2 linked regions of the Rhinolophus ferrumequinum genome follow. The protein of the gene in region 2 purifies or fractionates together with the protein of the main gene of each other region. This does not show direct contact. Links are inferred from orthologs where the notes say so. Each region holds a gene or a part of one and is shown on either strand. Other genes may lie near its edges.

Evidence for each region. Proteins that work in one complex are often made in the same cells at the same time.
Region 1: the proteins of AAK1 (region 2) and AP2B1 purify together in Homo sapiens (affinity purification with mass spectrometry; 4 studies listed by BioGRID and IntAct, with this or other methods). This does not show direct contact. The link is inferred for Rhinolophus ferrumequinum from reciprocal best matches to the Homo sapiens genes AAK1 and AP2B1.

What each region holds. Positions count from the first base shown.
Region 1 is NC_046304.1:23,145,780-23,157,024, reverse strand, and holds the start of AP2B1 (AP-2 complex subunit beta), read right to left. Parts: upstream 4,146-11,245; 5' UTR 3,937-4,145; intron 3,883-3,936; exon of another isoform or gene 3,733-3,882; intron 2,881-3,732; exon of another isoform or gene 2,790-2,880; intron 1-2,789. Other genes in the region: PEX12 (peroxisome assembly protein 12), read left to right, coding at 9,595-9,720, 10,037-10,590. UniProt on the Homo sapiens protein: Component of the adaptor protein complex 2 (AP-2). Adaptor protein complexes function in protein transport via transport vesicles in different membrane traffic pathways.
Region 2 is NC_046296.1:21,205,303-21,215,722, reverse strand, and holds the start of AAK1 (AP2-associated protein kinase 1), read right to left. Parts: upstream 4,502-10,420; 5' UTR 4,375-4,501; intron 4,358-4,374; exon of another isoform or gene 4,158-4,357; intron 3,858-4,157; 5' UTR 3,790-3,857; exon of another isoform or gene 3,676-3,789; 5' UTR 3,636-3,675; coding exon 3,473-3,635; intron 1-3,472.

The DNA.
Region 1 (11,245 bases), on a different chromosome or scaffold from region 2:
CCGGCCACAACTAAGACTGAAAGGACAACAACTTGAAGCTGAACGGCACCCTCCACAACTAAGATTGAAAGGACAACAACTTGACTTGGAAAAAAAAGTCCTGGAAGTACATACTGTTCCCCAATAAAGTCCTGTTCCCCTTCCCCAATAAAAAATCTTAAAAAAAAAAAAAATGGCTTTCAAAAAAAAAAAAGAGTATCTTCTTCCTTACCACCATCATTAACAATACTTATTACCAAATTTAGGACAGATGCCCTGGTACCTGCTCATGGTCAAAACAACATGAGTAATAATATATTTGGCAAACCTATGCACTAAACAAATCAATTTATTTAAGGAACAGGAAAAAGAGCCAAATCTGATCTCTAAAATGTGTTACTTGGACAATCTAAGGGAAATGAGACTCACTTGCTATCTTTCCAAGCAGCTCCTTACTATTAATATTTACAGTCCTCATCCTTATACAATAGTACTTTAGGTTTTACCAGAATTTCACTGAATTACCTTGTTGAAAGAAGTGAGCTAGAACTCACAAATATCATTATAGAATGCACAAATTTGTTTTTGATAGTATTTGTTATAACTAAAAATTAATCTGTAACAGAGGCTGGCCTTACACAGTATTTTCACAATGCCTTTCTAGTAAAAATTCAAAGAATGTTATAATCATTTAATCCATTCACAATGTAAACTAAACATGAAATGAGCCAACTGAAGAACAGAGTCCTTTCCATAAAGGACAAGGAATAAATCTGAAGTTATCATCTAAGCACTTACATACACAAAGAGAAAAACCAGTGTACAGAAATGATTACTAGAGCCTGACAGAAGAGCCACAGCTCAAGGCCATTATGGTCTGTCTCGGATGTTATCATGCCATTCTAAGTCCTATAGGATCATCAAAACTTAAACCTTGCTTAAGATTTAAAAACAAAATCTGCTTTGAAGTTTTCACCCAGTTTCTTCAAAAAATCATTGTTTGCTAAAGTTCTCATAGACATACACACATTTTAAATTCTTAACAGTTTTCAACACAATCTGTTAAACATTAAATTAACCTAGTCTTAAAATCTGCCTTCATTAATGACCCACACATTTCGTTACCTTCCCTAAAAAATTCATTGTCAAGGAATATATTTGTCCTATTCATCGTGAGCATTAAGTATTCTTAAAGTTCATTAAACATTAAGCGATTAATGTACCCATCCACAAAATTTCAGGAAAGAGGAGAAAATCAAGTAATCCTAATTTAGATCCTAAATTAAGAATTCCTGCTCTCAAAGAGAAAGGAAAAACATCACTCTTAGCTTACACTGTTGTAAACACCAGTAATGAAATATCCCTTACCCATTTTGGCAGGGAAACACTATATTTAAGTCAATTTTGCCTTAAGCCAAAAGAAATTCTAAGAAAAATGAAAACAGTTGAAACAAAAACAAATGAGAAGAGGTGGTGGTTGCACAATTGAATGTATGATATGCCACTGAATTGTTCACTTTAAAATGGTTAATTTTAGGTTATGCGAATTTCAGCTCAAAAAATTCCATTTGTATCATTTTTTAAATGAGATACGTTTAATCACATGCCAGAGATGGGCATAACCAGGTTCCCCAAAGCATAGGACGGTGAAAACTGTTGCCTGCATTAGAAGCCAAAGAAAAACCAGCCAATATAGAGCTCAAGGAAAAAAAAAAAAAATCAAGTATTTGGGGAAGAGTCTCAAAAATCAAACTCCTAAAAAAAATATCTATCTATTTCCTTCAGGAGATCCCCAGGAAAGAGGAAAGCCATTTCAGAGTCTGAATTCATACTACCTTTCTACCAGATCAAACTAGACAAGTCCTTGATGTTCAGAGGACTTCCAAGGTGGCCTAGGGACATTGTTAAATAACAAAGCTGCCAGTCAAAGCACACAATCACTCTTACTAGCCCCCAGTGTGATGTCACTGCACTTCAGAGAAGGTCTCCTAGTACAGGATTATACATCTAGATTTAACATAACCTAGTTTCTACTAAAGATAGATTGTGAAAGTCCCTTGTCTCTTTCTATTTCTTCCTCCTTCCAGTCCCCCTAAAGAGAATAAGGCCAGAAAAACATTAATAGCATCTTAATTTCAAATGGCTCTCTGGGAAATGACAGCTAAATTAGAGTTGGTGAGGCCACTAAATCCTTTCTTTTCACTTAAAGTTGAGCTTTAGACAGTCTGGTATTTACATGGAAAAACTGGCCAAAGAGTTAACCAAATTATAGAGCAGAAAGGTCACTCCAGCCATCTTTTATTACAAGGGTGAGAGGTGCTAGTCAGATATTTCAGTGATAATGCAGTAACAATAGTATTTTAAGGTATCATTTAGCTCCTAAGAAATTACAAAAGACACCTAATTACAACAGACACACCTGTGATTTCCATTTAAATATAAAACTACAAAGTAATGTATTAATATTATACAGTAAGAGCTCAAAAATTTTACATCCAATTTTTAACTGAAATACCAACAAACTCTGGAAAACTTAAACCTAGGAGGAAAAAAGGAGAACATGTCCTATCTTATTCATTCCTTGTTCAGCTTGCCTCAAACCCGTGCCTAAAATGTAATATTTTAAAATATGAATCTGTTTAAGGAAAAAAATAAGTGGAAGAACTGAACTTTCTTGAGTCTTCATTCACAGAATGTTAGCTTTATATTAATTTTACCACCCAATTTTCAGTGAGGCTGTTTGCAGAACACACTATCCTTTTGCTTCCTTAATTGTTTAAACTGTTAAGATACCTGCAAACGGTTCTCACCTTACCACTATGCTTAGTCATCATTGGAACGTGTTACATGCCGTCTTGTCCAGCTGCATCTCGTTCATCTGCTGCTTTCTATTATTACTTTGTAAGTGTACCCTGAGGCTAACCAAGAGAAGTACACCAGGAAGGTTATTAATAATTTAAATTGTTCCTCACTGAGACCACCTTCTTTGTCATGCTGCCTTTTCTAAACTGACTGCGTTTTCTCTACTTTCTTTTAAAAAAAATTTACACCGATTATCACAGTTTGGTATTTTAAAAACACTTCCTTTCAAAAGTCAAAGTTTAATGAAGCAGCCACATTTTATTCAGTGCTTCATAATCAAACGTGCAAGTGAGTTCAGTAAAAGCCTGTCCCCCAAATAGAAGACTGTTTTGAAAACAAACAGCATAAATACATTCCTTGGATTCAAAGAATTTGGAAATAACAGGAAGTTCCAGTTTCTTTGCCTCTGGCTTAATCTACAAGCTTTTCTCAAACCAGATCATTCGTGCTAAATCCTAAATCCAGAAAGAAAAAATTCCGGATTAAGATTTATCCCCACTTGCTTCTCCCTCTTTCACACTGGGTCAGCTCTTGAAGCTTTTCTTCCCTTCCCCTGTCAGGAATTCCTGTTCTTTTCTCAGGTGCTCAAGATTCTTGGGATTTGCTCCTCCATTACGAGGTGGGAGAGAGGTCTCTTTACCTCAAATTACAGGAGACGGGCGAGGTTTGCCCATGAATGGACAAACCTTTGGGGGAATCCCTTTTCCCTTTTGCTAGCTGGACACGTCCCAGTGTCTCAATGAAAGACGCCAAGCAGCGAGGGTAGGTCCTCTCCTCGGCCTCCAGCCTCTACCGGCCACACCCCTGACCTCCGGCCTTCCTAACCCCCGACTTCGAACATATCCATCCTTTCGGTCCGCTCCCCCAATGCCCAGATCCCAGCTGCCGTACCCGAGGATTCCCGCACCCCGCCACAGCGGTGGAGTGCCTTTCTCCAACCCTCTTCCTCACAACGGTCACACCCGACGGCTCACTCCTTACTCAACGGTCACCTTCCTAGGATGTTCTCTCCTCTGCCGGTCTGCAACCCATCCTAGAGATCCCCCCGCCCCATCAAGGAGGGACACACCCCAAAGTTGGCCAGCTTGAACTCACCGGAGGCAAGGGCGGGGGTGGCGGCAGCAGCCAGAGAGCACTGCCCGAGTGGTGTTGTAATGGTTTCCTGCACGTCACGACTCCTTTTCCAGGTCTCAGCCACTGCGCAAAACTTACTTTGCCAGGGACAAAGATGGTGGACAGGAAACTCTGACGTTAGAGAACCTCGCCGCGCGACGTCATCCCCGCGCGCGGGAGAGAACCCAAAGTCGGTGCTCTCTGCAGTCTGGGGCACAGATTCCGCTTGGTCTGGAAGAGACCTGACACCCGCGTCTCAGATGGTTGTCTAGCCCAAGGGATATATTAAACAAGCTGACATGCTCTGAATTTATTTCCTCGCACAGTTCTCTAAAATCCTTACGCATAGAGAGGGTGAAATATCCTGTTCCTTTCTTAAAGAAGAAACAACTGAGCTAATTTCCCAGGCCAGTTCAGGAGTGTGGACAATGGTGATCCACCCCAAGACTATACACGGGCAGTGGGACTAGAGGAAAGTGGTGCAAGGAAAAAGGCTGAGATGGTATCAGATCTGAGTTCAAATCTCTGCCCTGAATGAGGCTGGGAAAGTTACTTAACATCTCCTTAACCTTTACGTATCTGTGAAAGGAAGTCTCAAAGGCTGTATCTCTCTTGGATTTGTGAAGCTTAACGGGGATAAAATACGTAAAACATGTAATAGGTGTGCTTACGCAAAACTTCCTTTTGTTAACCACAACCTAGAAATCTTGGTACCTTCCCCTCAATTTTGCTGTGAACCTAACAACTACTCAAAAATCAAGTCTTTTTTTTTTTTTTTTAATGTGGAGAGTGAGAGAGCCTGGGGCAAAAGCTGAAAAAAGCAAAATTTCAAAGGGACTGAGAGGAGTAGTCAGAGACGTAGAAGGAAAAGCAAGCAGTTATGTTTCAGGATGCTTTTAGAGTTCCATGAAAGTAGGAACTATAGCAATGTTCACTCTTCTATCTCTGAGGCCTAGCCTCCCTCCTCAAAATTTGTTGAATGGATAAATGTGTAAGTGACTAGTCAGTATCAGTTGCCATAGAGATAAGGAAGGGCTGAAAAGTGTCCAAGGATTTAGCAACACAAAGGTCTTTGATGTCATTGCTGAGAACATCAGTAGAGAAATGAAGGCAAAAGCCACACTGCAGAAGTTTGAGGATGAATGAGAGGTGTGGAAATGAAGTCAGGAGTAACAAATAACTTCATAAGAAAGTATGGCTGAAAAGAGAAGAGATATAGAATGGTATCTGAGGGAGAGACTAGCAAGATATATTTTTTAAGTTCTATACTCACACATTTTCTTTAGACTATCCCTTTAGCAATACCATGGGCTCAATTATCTTTCATACACATGACTCTAACATCTCTATCTCTCGCCTTGACCTGTTCCCCAAACTTCACCACCAAATTGCTAACCACACTGATGGGTAATTCTATAATTATGGCCCACCCAAATTAAGCAAATCATAAGGGAATGTGGGGCTGATTGAAAACCTGGTTCTAGGTACAACTCCCAGCAGACAGAGGTGGATTTTGTCAAGAAGATGCCACCAGAAAAATCTTAACTTTGATTCACATCTAGTCCCTATTCAAAAACTGACAACAGCTCCTCATTGCCTGATATCCCCAAAACCTATTCTTCCCCCAGTTTTCCCCATCTTTCTGACTTTTTCTTTAGTTTTCTCATCTACAAAATGAAAAAAATAGCAATACTCAATCATATTGTTACAAGGATGAAATGAATCAGTACATGTAAAGCACTTAAAACTATACCTGTACATAGTATTACTACGTAAATATTTGCTATAATTTTGATTGTTTCAATAAATTACACTAAATTGCTCAAGCCAGAATCTTGGGAGTCATTCTTTATTTCTCTGCCTTAACTGCCACATCCAACCCATCTCCCAATTGTCAATCCTACCTTCAAAATACATCTCAAATTCATCGAATCCCCTCTATTCCATCTCATTAGTCCAAGCCACCATCACTTCTTGCCTGGACTACTAGGAACCTCAACTCTCCTCCCAACCATAATCCTACAGCAACCAGGTTTTTGTTTGCTAAACTTTTTGAAGCATAACAAACATTCAATAAAGTGCACACATAATAAATGTAGAGCTTGATGGATTTTCACAAAGTAAACATAAACACATAACCATTACAGGGTCATCTTTAAAATATAAACCTGACCATGACTCTGGTGTATAAATCCTTCAATGGCTTCCCATTGCACTTGGACTAAAATCCAGGCTCCTTCTCATGGCCTATATAGACCCTGCGTGGTTTGACACCTGTCTGTCTCTCTAACATCATTTTACGCCTTTCAGTCACGCCTCATTTCCCCTTTTGCTATATATATTGTAACCCTCAAATACACCAAGTTCTTTCCCATCTGAGGTCTTCCACAATTATTGCTCTTCCTGCCTAATATCCTTTTTCTCCAACTCCTCATATGGCTGGCTCCTTATAATTTAGATTGCAGTTTAATTGCAGTCTCCTCAGAAAGGCACTCCCTGATGACCTAATAATCTAAATTCACCTAGAGCCAAATTTCTTTTGGCTTAAGGCAGGAACTGACTTGATACAGTTTTCCTGCCCATATAGGTAAGGGATATTATATTACCGGTGTTAATTTAGTTGTACCCTCCCAGCCCCCACTGTCACCCCCATCCCAGCCCTCCCAATTTATAAATTATATATTAGTATATTTACTTGTTTATTTCTCCCTCTCCAATTATACTCTAAATTTCATGAGAGCAGATACCATGTCTGTTTTTATTACTACTTTATAGCCAGCACCTAGCGTAACGCTTGGCATAGAGGAGGTGCTCAATATTTGTTAAAGAAATGAATGACTGTCCACAGGCAAAGTACTAAACCTAGCATTTAAAACCTTCCATAATGCGTCCAGATGTACTTTTCAACCCAGTTTCTACTATTCCTTTCAGTGGCTCCATGGTTAAAGGAAACTAAATATTTCCTCCTCCTATGACTTCATGCTGCTCCCTTAGCCTGGAAAGCCCTATTACGCCCATGACTTCCCCCAAAAGGACTCAGCTTTTGAGGTCCACCTAATTGACAAAACTTTCTCAGTGGACATCTGCTAATGAGATGAAGTACAGGAGATACCAGGTTACATCATTATATCAGAAAGTAACTGGCAGAGAGAAGCTGAGATAAAATCTGAGGTTAGAAATAACGTTATTGTTTGGTTACACAGACCTTACGTTTAAGCTAGTTTGAACTGCCTTATTTCTCCTAGGTGGTAGTTACCACTTCCACTAAACCCATACATTAACCTATCTGATGGCTCTTAATACCCTTTAACGTTATGTGCAATCACTTTTTGTGTCTTATCATCTATTAAACTATAAACCTGAGGGTGGGATTTGTGATGAGGTGTTTATTTATTGGCTGTAATAATTGACATTTGTTGTTTTTGACTACCTTTCCTTTTTCTCATGTAATAACTTTAGTTTTGGAGTATCCTCAGAGGACTATCAATCAAGGTGTTTTGCCCTCTTCTGGCTAAGAGTGAAACAGAGTGGAGAGGAAATCTGAACCAAGGTAGGTCAATAGGAATTTGAATCATAAGTATTGTGACAGAAATTTGTTTAAGCTCATTCATTTCAACAATGTTGCCTGGATGAGACTGCTTATTCTCACTAGAAACATCCAGTAGGATTGTGTAGTTCCTGTTCCTTCAGAGCTGACTTTCCTAATTTTGTTAGTTACTCCATATACTTTTAACAAATTTCTTTTTACTTTATTTTAGCCTGTTTCTGTTGCTTTTAACCAAAGAACAGTAATTGATACAAATGTTTAAATAATTTCCCACTTATTTTAGTTGATGCTCTTTCTCAACTTCGTCTTTTTGCTGTTCACGTAAGAAAAGCCTGTATATAATAGGTAACATGTACCAGGTGCTTTATAGAGATACATTATCTCTAGTCCTTAAACTCTGTAAGGTAAAAATCTTTGATCAATGTGACTTATCTGGCAGGTACGCTGGTAGACTAAAAAACACTTTTTAAAACTATAATTAAGGGTAACTTGCAAGATTTTATTTCTCTCCTATTCAAACAACGAAACCTAAACATTGTTTTTGAGGGTTCTCCTTAAGTAAACCAATTATCTGTATACTATAAGGTCCTCTAGGCAGTAAATAATATCTTCTATTTAGGGCTATTTAGCCCAGGGGTGGGGGAGAAGTTTTGGAGAAGACAAGTTGAACTTTAAGTCATCCGAATTCGATAAACCTGTATCAGCGATCCAAATGAGGCAAAGTTGCGTACAATGTAAGAAGCACTTTGCAAGCCGTGAGGCAAATTACATTAAGTTTGCTATACAATGAAAAGTACCTTCTCTGTCAAGCCTCCCCAGTTCATGCAAGGTAGAATTCGTCAGGATCCCTCCGCCTTAGTACTGTATTCACATTGCTAATGTGACACACCTACCATGTAGGAAGATAGGAACCGTTTTCATCTAGTATAGCAAGTGCCCAGAGTTATGCTTAAATGTAACCAAACCTAGAAGACAGGTAAGCTACCAGCTTGGACGAAAAGTAATCGTCCCAAGTTCCGAGGAACCGCAGGAACCTCATTCTAATCATCTTTCTTTACCATTGATGGCAATAAAGCTAAGACTCCAGCTACGTCGCTTCAAATCTTTCCCGAAGGCGGCAGAACATAAATTCAGCACCACCCTGCGGCGCGCCCAGAGCCTTCCCACTTCTACATTCCGCTTATCCCTCCATCCCTAACTAGATCGCCCGCGAGAACACAGGCCTCAGCAGCCGCCCCGAATCTGGCTCCAAACGGCGGCCCAAACACCTTGTCAAAAAGACCTCTGCAGAGATTCAGAGCTGTGGCTTTCCACCGAGACTGCGATGCAAAAAAAAAACAGCTGGAAGAAAAAAAAACTAAAACAAACAAGCGGAGAATTCCACTCGAAGGGAATCAATCACCTAGTGCCCACTTTAATTTCAGCGGGTGCGGAAACGGAAGTGCTTGTGGGGTCATGGAGATTTCTAGTTCCGGTTTCGGGCCGCGTTGGGGACTAGAGTGCGTCTCCGCCGCCGTTCCCCAGCGCCGGCGGCTTCTATTTCCGGGTGCGGCTTCTGTCATAAAGCTGAGACCTCCCTTCAAACGTGGCGTCGTGGGTCCTTCGCGCCTCGCCTGGGGTCAGCGCGCAAGGACAGGCGCGGGCGGGGATACTTGACAGCCAACAGGTGGAGCCAGTCGTGGCGTACAGGGAACCTCTGATCCCTCAGAGCCGGCTGTCTTTCGAGCCCTCACGATTGGGGAGTCCCTGATTCGCAGCCTCCAGGACTGCAGCTCGAGAGGACAGTGCTCCTTCTCCATACCTGTTCCTCAGTCGTGTTCTGCCCTGTGAGGTGCAGCGTTTGACAAGTCACCCCTTCCCCCCACACCACTTCCACCCACATCTGCGTTAACTTCGTTCTTAACCTCCTTGAGACTCCTCCCTCCTGCCTCCAGAAAGGGTCTTTTTTCCCCCTTTCCCATAAAAATTGGGAGGAGTTTCGGGTATCCTGCAGAAAGGTTACCTCTACGACAGCACCCATTTGATCCCCCACATAAGTTCATGCTTACTCGAGAGAGTGTGCGCCAAGTGAAACCCAGTGCGTACAGGAAACTATGGCTGAGCACGGGGCTCACATCACAACCGCTTCTGGGCTGGATGACCAGCCATCCATCTTTGAGGTGGTAGCACAGGACAGTTTAATGACAGCAGTGAGACCTGCTCTTCAACATGTGGTCAAGGTAAGGTATTACGTAATTCTTTGAGTGGTTTTAGGGACGACTGGGTAAAAATCAGTAATTTCAGTATTCCGTAGCCTAGCTTTGAAATTACCCATTAGCATATAATTCATATCCTATGATTTAACCGTTACTCAATCCCTGTTATGTGTAGAGCCCTGTAATGAATACCTAGCACTTCAGGGAGGATAGGGCAGACCCCCAAAGAAGTGACTTGTTTAATCCCAAAGTGTAGAATTTAGAGGGGGAAAGGAAATGTAAATACATGGCATAGTAGCTGTAAAATGCAATGAATTTCATTTAATTTACTTTGCTTTAGGTTCTTGCAGAATCAAATCCTGCCCTCTATGGCTTCTTTTGGAGGTGGTTTGATGAAATCTTTACCCTGCTAGATCTTCTGCTCCAGCAGCATTATCTGTCTAAAACCAGTGCCTCATTTTCTGAAAACTTTTATGGCTTAAAGCGGATTGTAATGGGGGACAGACACAAGCTTCAGAGACTGGCCAGTGCTGGTCTCCCAAAGAAGCAGCTTTGGAAGTCAATTATGTTCCTGGTTCTTCTTCCCTATCTGAAAGTGAAGCTGGAGAAGTTGGTTTCTAGCCTGAGAGAAGAGGATGAATATTCTATCCATCCCCCTTCTTCCCGCTGGAAACAATTTTACAGAGCGTTCCTGGCTGCCTACCCATTTATTAACATGGCCTGGGAAGGCTGGTTTCTTGTACAACAACTTCGATACATCCTAGGAAAGGCTCAGCATCACTCACCACTTTTAAGTCTGGCTGGAGTTCGGCTAGGTCGGCTTACAGTTCAGGACATACAAGCGCTGGAGCACAAACCAACTGAAGCCAACATGATGCAGCAACCAGCCAAGAGGTAAGGCCTTAACATTTCCCCAAAATCTATGATTAACAAGTTCTAAAATCTTACCCTAATTTTATGAAACTCACTTCCCTCAGTACACTTTGAGGTATTTTATAAAATCATAGAAAAATTGTGTCCATAAAACAAGGATTGCCATCCTGGTAACCTTCCTCATCATAACAACTACATTTTTGTGCACACCTGCTATGTGCCAGGCCCTGTGCTGGATGTTTGCTTTGTGTACGTCATCTCAATCCTCATCACAACCCAATGAAAAAAATGTATTAGCCCCATTTAACAGTTTAGGAAACTAAACACTAAAAGCTAAGTACCTTGCCAAGGCCACACGGCTAGAAGGATGGCAAAGCTGAGATGCAAGCCAGATCAACACAATTCGCAAAACTGCTCTTAACCACAATGCTATACTGCTTCTAGTGTTTGTGTTCTCCTACAGAATTCAAATATACATTCCACAATACTGCTAAGTTATTTTTAAGTGAGTTGTTTCTTTTTCTGGATATACAATCTTCTTAAAAAAAAGTCTATATAATGTCTCACTAATTTCTTTCTCAAACACAAAACAAACAAAATCCTAGTCATTAAAAACAAAGTTTAGCTCCTATGCTCCTAAAATACTGTAAGTCAGAAAGAGGGAATTGTTAGAATA
Region 2 (10,420 bases):
CAAACGTACACTAAATGAATACATGCATGCATCATATTGATCATACTGGTACCACCAACACGCTAGAATTATATGTCATATATGTATATTGTGTGTGTGTGTGTGTGTGTGTGTGTGTGTCTGTGTGTGTTTGGTTTTTTCTCAGGTGGTTTCACACACATTTTTAAGTCTTGCTACCTTGTACTGTAGGTAGTAGGTAGGAGAAATTGTTAAAGTTTACTGATTTGGAGACTTAGTTTTCATTACCTCTAGACCTGGATTCCTTTAGTGTAGGTGAGAAATTGTTCAGAAGGGTCACCTGGTCCACCTTATATAGAACTTAAGCAGTTCTGGAATGTTGTCTTCTACACAGCAGGTATTCAACAAACATTTATTTATTGTTTAAAGCTTAGATGTAAGGCCTCATATAGCTAAGGAGGTATGATAAAAGCATAGCTTCAGTCCTTCTTTAAGCATCGCTCCAATTTTCCCATTGAGCTCATTCTGGAAGCTTAAACCAAATCATTCCTTGACATTACATGCCCATTACATCAGACATGATCTAGCATCTCATTGTGGCATCTTGCTGAGAAAGCTAGAGAGAAAATATCCTCCCCTGTACCAAGCCTAGATAAAGCCACATCCCTCTGAACTCATGACTTATGCTCCTCACTTCCCGCAAATAAGCCCCTGCTAAACTACCATGTTTCCCCGAAAATAAGACCTAGCCGGACAATCAGCTCTAATGCGTCTTTTGGAGCAAAAATTAATACAAGACCTGGTCTTATAAGACCGGGTGTTAGCTACATAATATAATAAGACCGAGTCTCATATTAATTTTTGCTCCAAAAGACACATTAGAGCTGATTGTCCGGCTAGGTCTTATTTTCGGGGAAACACAGTAGTTAGTGAAACTAGGCGAGCAGGACTGACGCTGCAGATGGAGGGCTGGCAGCCCAGCATTCTCCTGTCTTACCCCAGCACCTCCTCGAGATTCCTGCCATTCCGCACTATAACGCATAGACGAATACCCACGTTAGAGAAAAAGGGATGATCAGTGGGATTTGGTGGTAATAAGAGTCTGTGTTTGAAACCGTCAGCTAATATACGTAATGGTGAAAAACTGAAAGCCTTTCCTCTAAGATCAGAAACAAACAAGGATGTCCGCTCTCACCACTGTTATTCAACACAGTATTTGGAAGGCCAGCCAGAGCAATCAGGCAAGAGAAAGAAATAAAAGGCAACTAAATTGGGAATGAAGAAGTCAAATTATCACTTTCTGCTCCATAAATACTTGGTACACTGGCTCCTCCATAGCCACATACTTCTAATAGCCACAAATTCAAACTCAGTTCTAGCCAGAGAACATAAAGAGGGCAACATTGCCACCCCCAGCTTCACAGGAGACTGTGTCGTTACTGAATTTCTGTCCATGACGTCATCACACCCGGTGGGTAACTCCTATCCATTCTTCAGTCAGTCACTTCCGGCACAAAGCAATTCTTGGCTCTCGAAAATTGGGGGCCACCTTAAATGTATCTCCATGATTGCACATACCACGCTATCCTAAGTGGCTGTTTTCCATCTCTCAAAGTAGTTTGTAAACTCCAGCGTCTAGTTGTGGAGCACATTCCCAGAGCCCAGCGCAGTGCCTGGCTCATCACAGACGCCATAACTGTCTGTCCAATGTACGAATGAAGGAATGCAGAGCTGCAAGCCCTACATTCCTCTAAAAATATAACGCGTGATGTACAGTTCTCAGGGATGAATTCTGGGGAAAAGGAGGGCAACCTAAATGACAAAGACCAACTTTGCCTTTTCTCTTTCCCATCACTCAGACTCTGAGGACAGGCACTGCTTAGGGTAGCACCATCTACAATGAGAGAATATCCTAGCTGAACAAAATGCTCCTGGGCTCTAAGGTCAGCAGAGGCCATTCAGAGAGAAGGAAAGAGCTCTGTGCCCCCATCATTCCTCCTGATTTCTCTCATACCCACTCCTTCATGTCTCCATCCCACTGCAGTCAAGGGTTTTGGCACAGGGATGAAAGAGACTCATCAGACTCAAGGGTGCGGATCTGGCAGCAGGCACAGAAGCATCTCCCATCCTGCACCAAAGCCCACAAGGAAAGATCCAAAGGGACAGTGACTCAGGCCGCACATTAAGTCTAGCTAGAGCAGTACTGAGGATGGAAAAGGGCAACAATTTCACAAGGGCATCGTGAGACCTTTTTAAAAACAGTGTTTTTAAAGTAGAGGCTTTAACCCTAACCCCAGAAAACTGGGCCCAGCTGAATCCACTGTTTAGACAAGCTGAGAGCCAAACACAGCTTCTTCCTCCTCCCAACTGACCTGCCTGCAAGACTCACTATGACAGGCATTTCCCAGGCCCAGGTCGAAAAAATCTTTTCAACCTTAGCTTGCAAAAAGGCTCCTTCCCCAGCTAATAAACTGTTCCCCACCACCACCTCCATATTGCAGTGATAGACGCCTCCCCCTTCCGCCATCCCCTCTCGGCTGATAACACAACCTACAGCAGGCTGGCCCCATCCAATTAGTTTGAATAGCTTCATGCCAAGAAAATTGCTGCTTTTATTAAAAATAAAAGCACACTAGGCAGGCAATGGGCTGTGAAAAGTATGAGTCTGGCATAATTATGAAGGTCGAGGTTAAGGTTACGAAGAGACATGCGAAGATTTCCAGAAAGCCTGGGGAATCAAGATATAGATTTAGATATAGATATGGAATTCACAGAGCAGATCTAAATAACACCTTCTCCAACAGAGGAAAAGCAAAAATCATGATGCCACTCTCAAGTAATTCTTCCTGGGGGGGCGAGGAGGGGTGACTAAAACAGGAGATGAGAGGGGCCTACTGGACGGATTTCAAAATAACCACATTCATTTCATGTAATTTCTGTTATCTTAGCTACATCCTGGGGACCTGATGACAGCTGGGTCAGGAAACAAACCCAGTCAAATCCAAGAGCCTTGGCTCGTAGAAAAAACATTCCCATTTTCTGAAAATCCTGTCTTCCTTCCAATGCCTGCTCTTGGCAGTGGGAAAGTTGGGGAGGAGAAAGAGAAAGAGAAACCCTCCTCTCTTCAGCCCTCACATCAATTATTTCAAGTTTTAGGATGACAAGCCCACTACCCCCTACCTTTGATGTGAAGCTTTGCACTTTCACATATAGGTTTTCTCATCTGCTCCTCATAATTCAGTGAGGCTCACAAGATTTGGCTTGTCAATGTTTTTTAAAACATAAAAAGCCATTGAGGTAAACAATTTGGGGCAACCTTCCCCCACCCCAGAAACCCTGTCACTTTCACGTCTGTTGTAAATTTCTCAAGGGCAGTGATTCACAGGGCAAGGAAAGAGGGAAGGGAGGGTCAACTGGTCAGAACCCATTCATACGTTCAACAACTAGAAACCAGAATCTTGCTGCATCAGCCCAACATTTTCGTTTACCGCGCACTGCAAGAGTCCTACCGTACCTTCCGCCAACACCTCGTCCACAGTGACCTGCTGTCGCCCAATGCCAAAGACCCTTCCGATGTAGCCACTGCCCAGGCCCGAGGTGCTGCCCCCTCCTCCGCTGGAGCCGGAGCCCAGGCCAGAGCCGCCCTGCTCTCGCCGGGAGTCGAAAAACTTCTTCATCTTGCGAATAGGAAGCAGTAAAGCAAAATACCGACAGCTTCTAGATTTTTTTTAAAAGAAAACAAGAGATCCAAGGATTTCTTCTCGGATTTCAGCTCGGAAAGGAGCCACCCGAATCCGGCCGTGGGGGTGGGGGCTGAGGGAGGATGCCTACAGGAATATGCGTGTCAATCGCGCAGCGGTCCCCTCCTCCTCAAGAGAGCGATTCGTGTAAGTTTAAACCTGTGATGACAGAGGAAGAGAGAGAGGATGAATCAGTAACACACTTGAAAATTCAACTGCTGAGTCCTAGAGGAAGCAAAAGCCATCATCCTGGGGAAACGCTTCATGCATTTCCTTAACGAGAAAAATCCTGGAGCTGAAAACACATCCCCGACCCCAAAACCCAGGACCCCGTGCCCGGGGCTCAGAAAAAGGAGGGATTCGGGCCGCCTTGGGCAATGCCGACCCAGCCGAGCACTGCCTCCCCCTCTTCCCTGATCTCCCTGCCGCCCCGCGAGGCAGCATCCCGGTAGCACCCACTTGAGATGGCTCGGCGGCCGGCGCCCAGCTACCAGCCCCGCAACATTGTCACGGCCGCCGGGCCGGCCTGCGACACGGAGATGAGGCGGCGCTGCAGCGAGAGCCGGGGCCGCGTTCGGCACCCGCCCGCCCGCCAGCTGATCCCCGGAGCGCCCGGCGGAGACTGACCCGCCGCCCCTCCCCCGCGCGCGCTCCCGCCCGGCTCCATCCACCCAACCAGGAAGTGAACCGCCGCCGGAAGTGCCTCTAGGGGCGGTGCGGCGACGGCTGGGGCCCTCCTGCGGCCCGCCGCCTTGTCGCGACACACGGGAAGGGGTCGTCGGAGAGAAGGGGACCGGGAAAAGGGGGTGTCAGTGCGGAGAGAGTTTTAGAAAAGAACGTTGAAATCGCCCGACCCGCAGGGCACCATGGGAAAGGTAGTTCGGCGCTGCCCAGGGGGGAACTACAACTCCCAGGATGCCCCTGGAGAAGCCAGCGAGGCGGAGGCGATGGCAGTGGCCTCTTCGGCCTCGAAGGTGGTTAGTGGGGTGGTGCATTTGTGAGGATTCGGTTATTTAAACACATCCGGTAAAGAAACTGCCAGGGACTAGGGTTTCCACCCTGCTGCATGTTCCACCCTTCTGGAGCCATCTTATTTGCGGCTTGATCTCCCTGCACAAGGGATTCTGGGGTTTGTGGTTTCCAAACGGATCGAGGCTGACACCTGAAGGACGCAGCTTAACAGTTTAGCCCCTAGCCGGTCCTGCGGGACTTACCGACGTCACCTAGGCAGAAGGTGGAAGACAGAGGGCGATCGGGAAAATTTTGCTAGCAGTTGATGCGGGGCCACACCCTAACATAAATAAAACCAGTGCCCTTCCGCCCCCAACCTCAAAAGACGCTCTTGCTCCCAGATGTTATTGAGAACCGGTTCAGCCATCAGCTCTGAGCTAGGCGCTGTGAGAGCACTTAATAATACAGTATCTCATCTGAGAATCTACAGGCGAGACTCAAACCGAGAAATTTAAAGGGTGTGTGCAGCACAAATCCTGGGGTACCAGGAGATCGAACTCCTTGGCTCTGACCCCTAAATCTGGGGCTCGTCTGCCGATGGTGACCCTTAATTTTTCCACCTTTGCTGGTGCTGTGGGTGGGTCTGACCTTCACTAAGCCAGCCTCTCTCACACAAGAGCCCTAGGCTGACCTTCGATTACTTCTTTTTCACTTCAAGATTTCCCCTCCTTGATTACTACTTTACGCTGATAACGCCTGAATGCTGAGGGTGGGAGTGGACAGTGATTTGCATCTAGCAAATGCAGAAGATTTGGAAGGCCGGGTGGTACCCTTCTCCATTCCTAGATTTCCTGATAGATGATGCTGAATGTAGTGCCAAATTCCTGCCCAACCCCCCACCCCAAATCCGTGATTTTTCTAACTCCCGAATCTAGGTTATTTCTCACCTCTACCCGCTCTCCTTGGTCCCTAGTTTTGCGACAGCCCTCCTAGCTTGTGATTCGTCCCAGGATCTTTTTTTTTCCCCCGCAGGCATTTGAGAAGAGTAGAGAAGTGTGCTCCAGGAAAAAATGGTGCTTGCTTTCTCTAATCTGAATATTGAACTGAGCTGTGTGTGACTGGGCTGGCCTCAGCGTCCTTGCTACTTCTCCTTCCTCCTCCTCTTTTTCTCTTCCCTCTTTTCCTTCTCCCTCCTCTCCTCCTTTTTGTTTCAAGTAGTGCCATTCTAGTTAAACTTCCTGTGTAGAGACAGCATCTTTTCTTCAGAAGGGAGTCAATGTTGTCACCTCAGTTCACAAATGCATGCAGCCACCTCCAGGGCAGAACGCAGAACCTGCTAAAACAGTCCCTCAAAGCAAGCCCAGGGAGGAATGTTCTCTGCACTTCCCTTAAAAGGCTAGAATTTTGTCTAAGGAAGTTTGGAATAGGTCTTAAAATAGATAGGCAAGCTCATTTAGAATTAGATTCACTGACCTCCATCTTTCTCTGCATCTATTGATCTTGACTGACTTTTTTTAAAGAAGCTCTGTTGGGTCCTAGAATCTGTTGCTATCTCAATTTTTACTTTTCTAGACTGTCTTGTTATCAGACTAGGCCAGACTTAACCAGATCACAAATCTCACTTCTGAGATACAAAAACTTATTTTTATCCAATAGGATTAAGGTATTTAGTGAACACTCACCTGGATGCTTTGATCAGAATCTGAGGGAGGAGGTTATAAAGAAGAAGAAGAAAAAAAATCATTAAAAGACCATAGCCTTTTGCCTTCCATTCTCTCAGAGACTGATAATAATTATAATGACAAAATCGCAGTTTTTGATGCTTTACGTATATTAAGTTATTTAATCCTTACAACAACCCTATGAAATAAAGTACTATTATTCTACTCATTTAATAGATTGGGGAACTGAAGCATAGAGATAAGTGACTTGCTCAAAGTCACAACAATAGTAACTGGCAAAGCCAGAATTCCAACCCATTTTGGCTTCAGAACCCAGTGCTTAACTAGCTACACGAAACTGCCTACGTAGAAAGAGCTAATGTAAACTGATTAAAATACTTGAAAATAGTCAGAAAAATCTACCAGCAGGATGGGACCAGGAGCCAGGAAACCTGCCACTCCAGAGCTGTGCTCCTAAAACACTTAGATCTCTGGACTGTTTTCTCAGCCATAAAAGCAGATCTCTCTTCTAACTCTTAGTAATTCTCTAGTTCCTGAATACAAAATAATCACAGATCAGCCGTTACAATCTCGCAACTCTTACCACATTTTGTATAATTTGTTCCACCCTGCCTTTCACTCCTGTTCAACTTTCTATGTATATTATCACCTCAACCAAGTACCTCAAGGTCAGGGAACAGTATTCTACTTATCTCCTTGAACATCCAATAAAATAGAGTGTATCCTTACCAGTACTTAAATAAACCAAATAATTGACTTCAAATTTGTGACACAAAGGGAACAATCTGATTAAGGTGGAAAGATTGATTTGAGGTATTCTAGACTACGTGAGCTTTTGAACTTGGTCTAGGAGATACTATGGTTAAATACCCAGTTGAAGGGAAGAGGACAGGAAACTGTCGTATACTGTATATCTTCCATATGCCATTACTATATTAAGCGCTGCACATATCATCTTGTTTAATCCTCATGGATGCATCTGTGCAAAGTAGATACTATTATCCATTATATTAGAGTAGATACTATTATACTATTATCCCCAATTTTATGGATGAACAATAAAGATTTTGTGAGTGGGAGGGTTTATTAGGTTTGGAGGAAATGATTTGACCCATGGATGGCTAAATTCTGTCATTGTAAACCCAAGGGTGGCAAATGTGTGGTACATCCTTAGAGGAAATCAAAGGGAAGGGGATCGACATTTTTAAAGACCTTAATGAAGGCCTCCACTGTGTTAGATATTTAATCATATCATTCATCCTTCACAATACACTTAGGAGGTGTGCTTTGCTTTTATTTTATCAATGTGGAAATAGGATGAGCAGGATTAAAGTAAGTCAACTATTGCTACACACATCCTGCAAAGGGCAGAGCCAGAATCAGATCCTGACTGACCTCAAAACCCACGTCATTTTCACTATACCAACTAGCCATTCTATGTTGCCATCTCTCAGTCCAATGGAACTTACTAGAAATGTAATTATCAGGCCCCACCCAGATCTACTGAATGGAAGCAGGGGGCACAGAGGCAACATTCTCTCTTCACCATTTTCTGCATTTTAGTTTCCTTACAGACACCCCTTTGCTTATCTACTTTCTTTTGATTCTTTTTGTTGCAAATATAAAGTAGATGTGTTTTACAGAAATTGCCTTTGGTAAACCTTGTTCAAAAGGGTAGCCTTCTTGTGCATCTTGAGCACTGAGTTTTCCTTTTATATGCTGTAGAATTTTTCATAAACCTATGAGGTTTTCTTTTCCTGTTTAATCATCGTTAGATACGCAGTGTTGTTATGAGTCGTAATCTTTTTCTGAGTCATTTAAAGAATTTGAATGCATTGCTGGGAGAAACTAATGCATATCTAGCCAGATGCTTTCTTAAGTTGGGGCTCAGCCTTTTCATTTTAGAAAAGTCTGTTCTATTGACTGAATTGGGCACATTAAATAATTGAACTAAGATGTACTTGTTATAATTGACATAAAATATAAATTGAGGTTCCTGCAATGGTCAGGCAGAGCAGCATGAATGTCCTAGGCTCATCCTTAGTGAGGCACGTATTCTTGAGATCTTCTTGCCATCTGTTCATGTCTTCTTAGTTGAATTTTGACCTTAGGTGTATGGTCTGTGCCTAGGGAACAACAGGAAGCTAAACATCATCTACACAGACATTAAATGTAAGACTGTGATCTCAATTTTTCAGTACCGTTTGCTTGAGCAAACACTCATTAAACACCCACCGTGAGGGTGTCCTCTTAGAGGTATTATTCTGCTTTCTTAATAATGGTGATACTCAAGAAAGTGTGATGTATAGACTAGTGCCAGTCTTTTAACTGTTTATAACTGGTCCATGATGACATAAGTACAAAAATTGAGAATAGACATTTAAAGCATATAAATTACATATACGATTCTGCACCCCCAATTCCAGTATGTGGGTTTTCAACACCAGCTGGGTATCCTACAGTTTTACTCAATTCTGACACTATCTACCTGAAGATAGTGTCAAACCCCACAGCTTTAGGACTAAGTCCTGTAAGACTGCCCCACCCACCCCATTTCAGATGCCAATTACAAGACCAAGTTGTCACCTGTGCTTCTGACCAACTGGCTATAGAGTAGAGGTTCCAACGACCCCCTCCTTGAGTTCCATTAATTTGCCAGAGCAGCTCACAGAACCCAAAGAAAGATTTTAGTTACTAGCTCACCAGTTTATTGTAAAAGAATAGAATTCAGGAACAGTCAGATGGAAGCGACACATAGGGCAAGGTACGTGAGAAGGGGCTTGGAGCTTCCGTGCCTTCTCAGAGAATACCGCTCTCGTGGAATATTCACGTGTTCACCAATCCGGAAGCTCTCCCTACCCCATACTTTTGGGGTTTTATGGCAGCTTTATTACCGTTGGCATGATTGACTAAATCCTTGGCCACTGATGATCATTCAACCTTCAACCCTGATCCCCATCAGAGGTCAGGGTGGGTGGGACTGAAAGTTCTAGTCCTCCAATCACATGGTTGGTTCCCCTAGCAACGAGCCCCTCTCCTTAAGTGCTTTCTAAAAGTGACCTCATAACATAAACACAGATACTGTTAAAAGAGGTTTGTTAGACTATCAAGACACCTTTATTGCTCTTATAACATAGGAAATTCCAAGAGTTTTAGGAGCTCTGTGCCAAAAGCACAGATAAAGACCAATATATATTTCTTGTTATAAATCACAGTATCACAGGGGACTATTAATAATTATGCCAGGACAACAAACATTAACTGGACTATGCAGACAATCTGGAGCATATGGTAACCTCATCCTTAGACTTCATTAGTGATGGAGCCCTGTGGACACACCGATCACAAAAACTTTCTGAACCTTTGTTTTTCTGAATGTAATATACACTAACTCCTAAATCCCTGGCCCCATACACTTGATAGGACAGCCCAGCAATTACACTTGGACCCCTTGTGCCCACTGTTCTTGGAAATTGACTTGTGATTTGACGCTGTGTCTTGCCCACTTACAATTGGACACTGCAAATATTTTCCATGTAGTTCTTTTTGCTGATGGACTTGGTTTAACAAGGGGGGCAGAGATTAGACCACAGTTGAAATCTACAGGCTTTCAACTGGGCCTCTGCTAGGAGCATCTTGGGACGCTTTACTTGGGAATTATTACAGTGGTCTTCCAAAGTTTTCATTGACATAACACTAAGTTCATTTTTAATACCCCATGTTCTCTCATATGTTTGAAAGTTGACCTATACAAATTTTCACAAATCTAAATAATTGCAAAGGATATAATTTATGGCTTCTTATAAATACTATCATTTAAAAATAAAACTGTTCCATCACTTTTTTCAATTTATGCAATGGAGACTAAGTACCATATATTCAATGGAATATAAATACTATCGTCCATTTTAAAATATTTAAATTCTTCTTCAACACCTAGGAATTTCACATTATTCTTTTCTCTTCTAGAACACATACTAGGTCTGATAATTAAGTTCACAAACTTGTTGCAACGATGTTGCTAACCTTTTTTTGATATCAGAGGGATTATTCATTATGAATTTGCACCAGCTGGACAAACAGTTAACC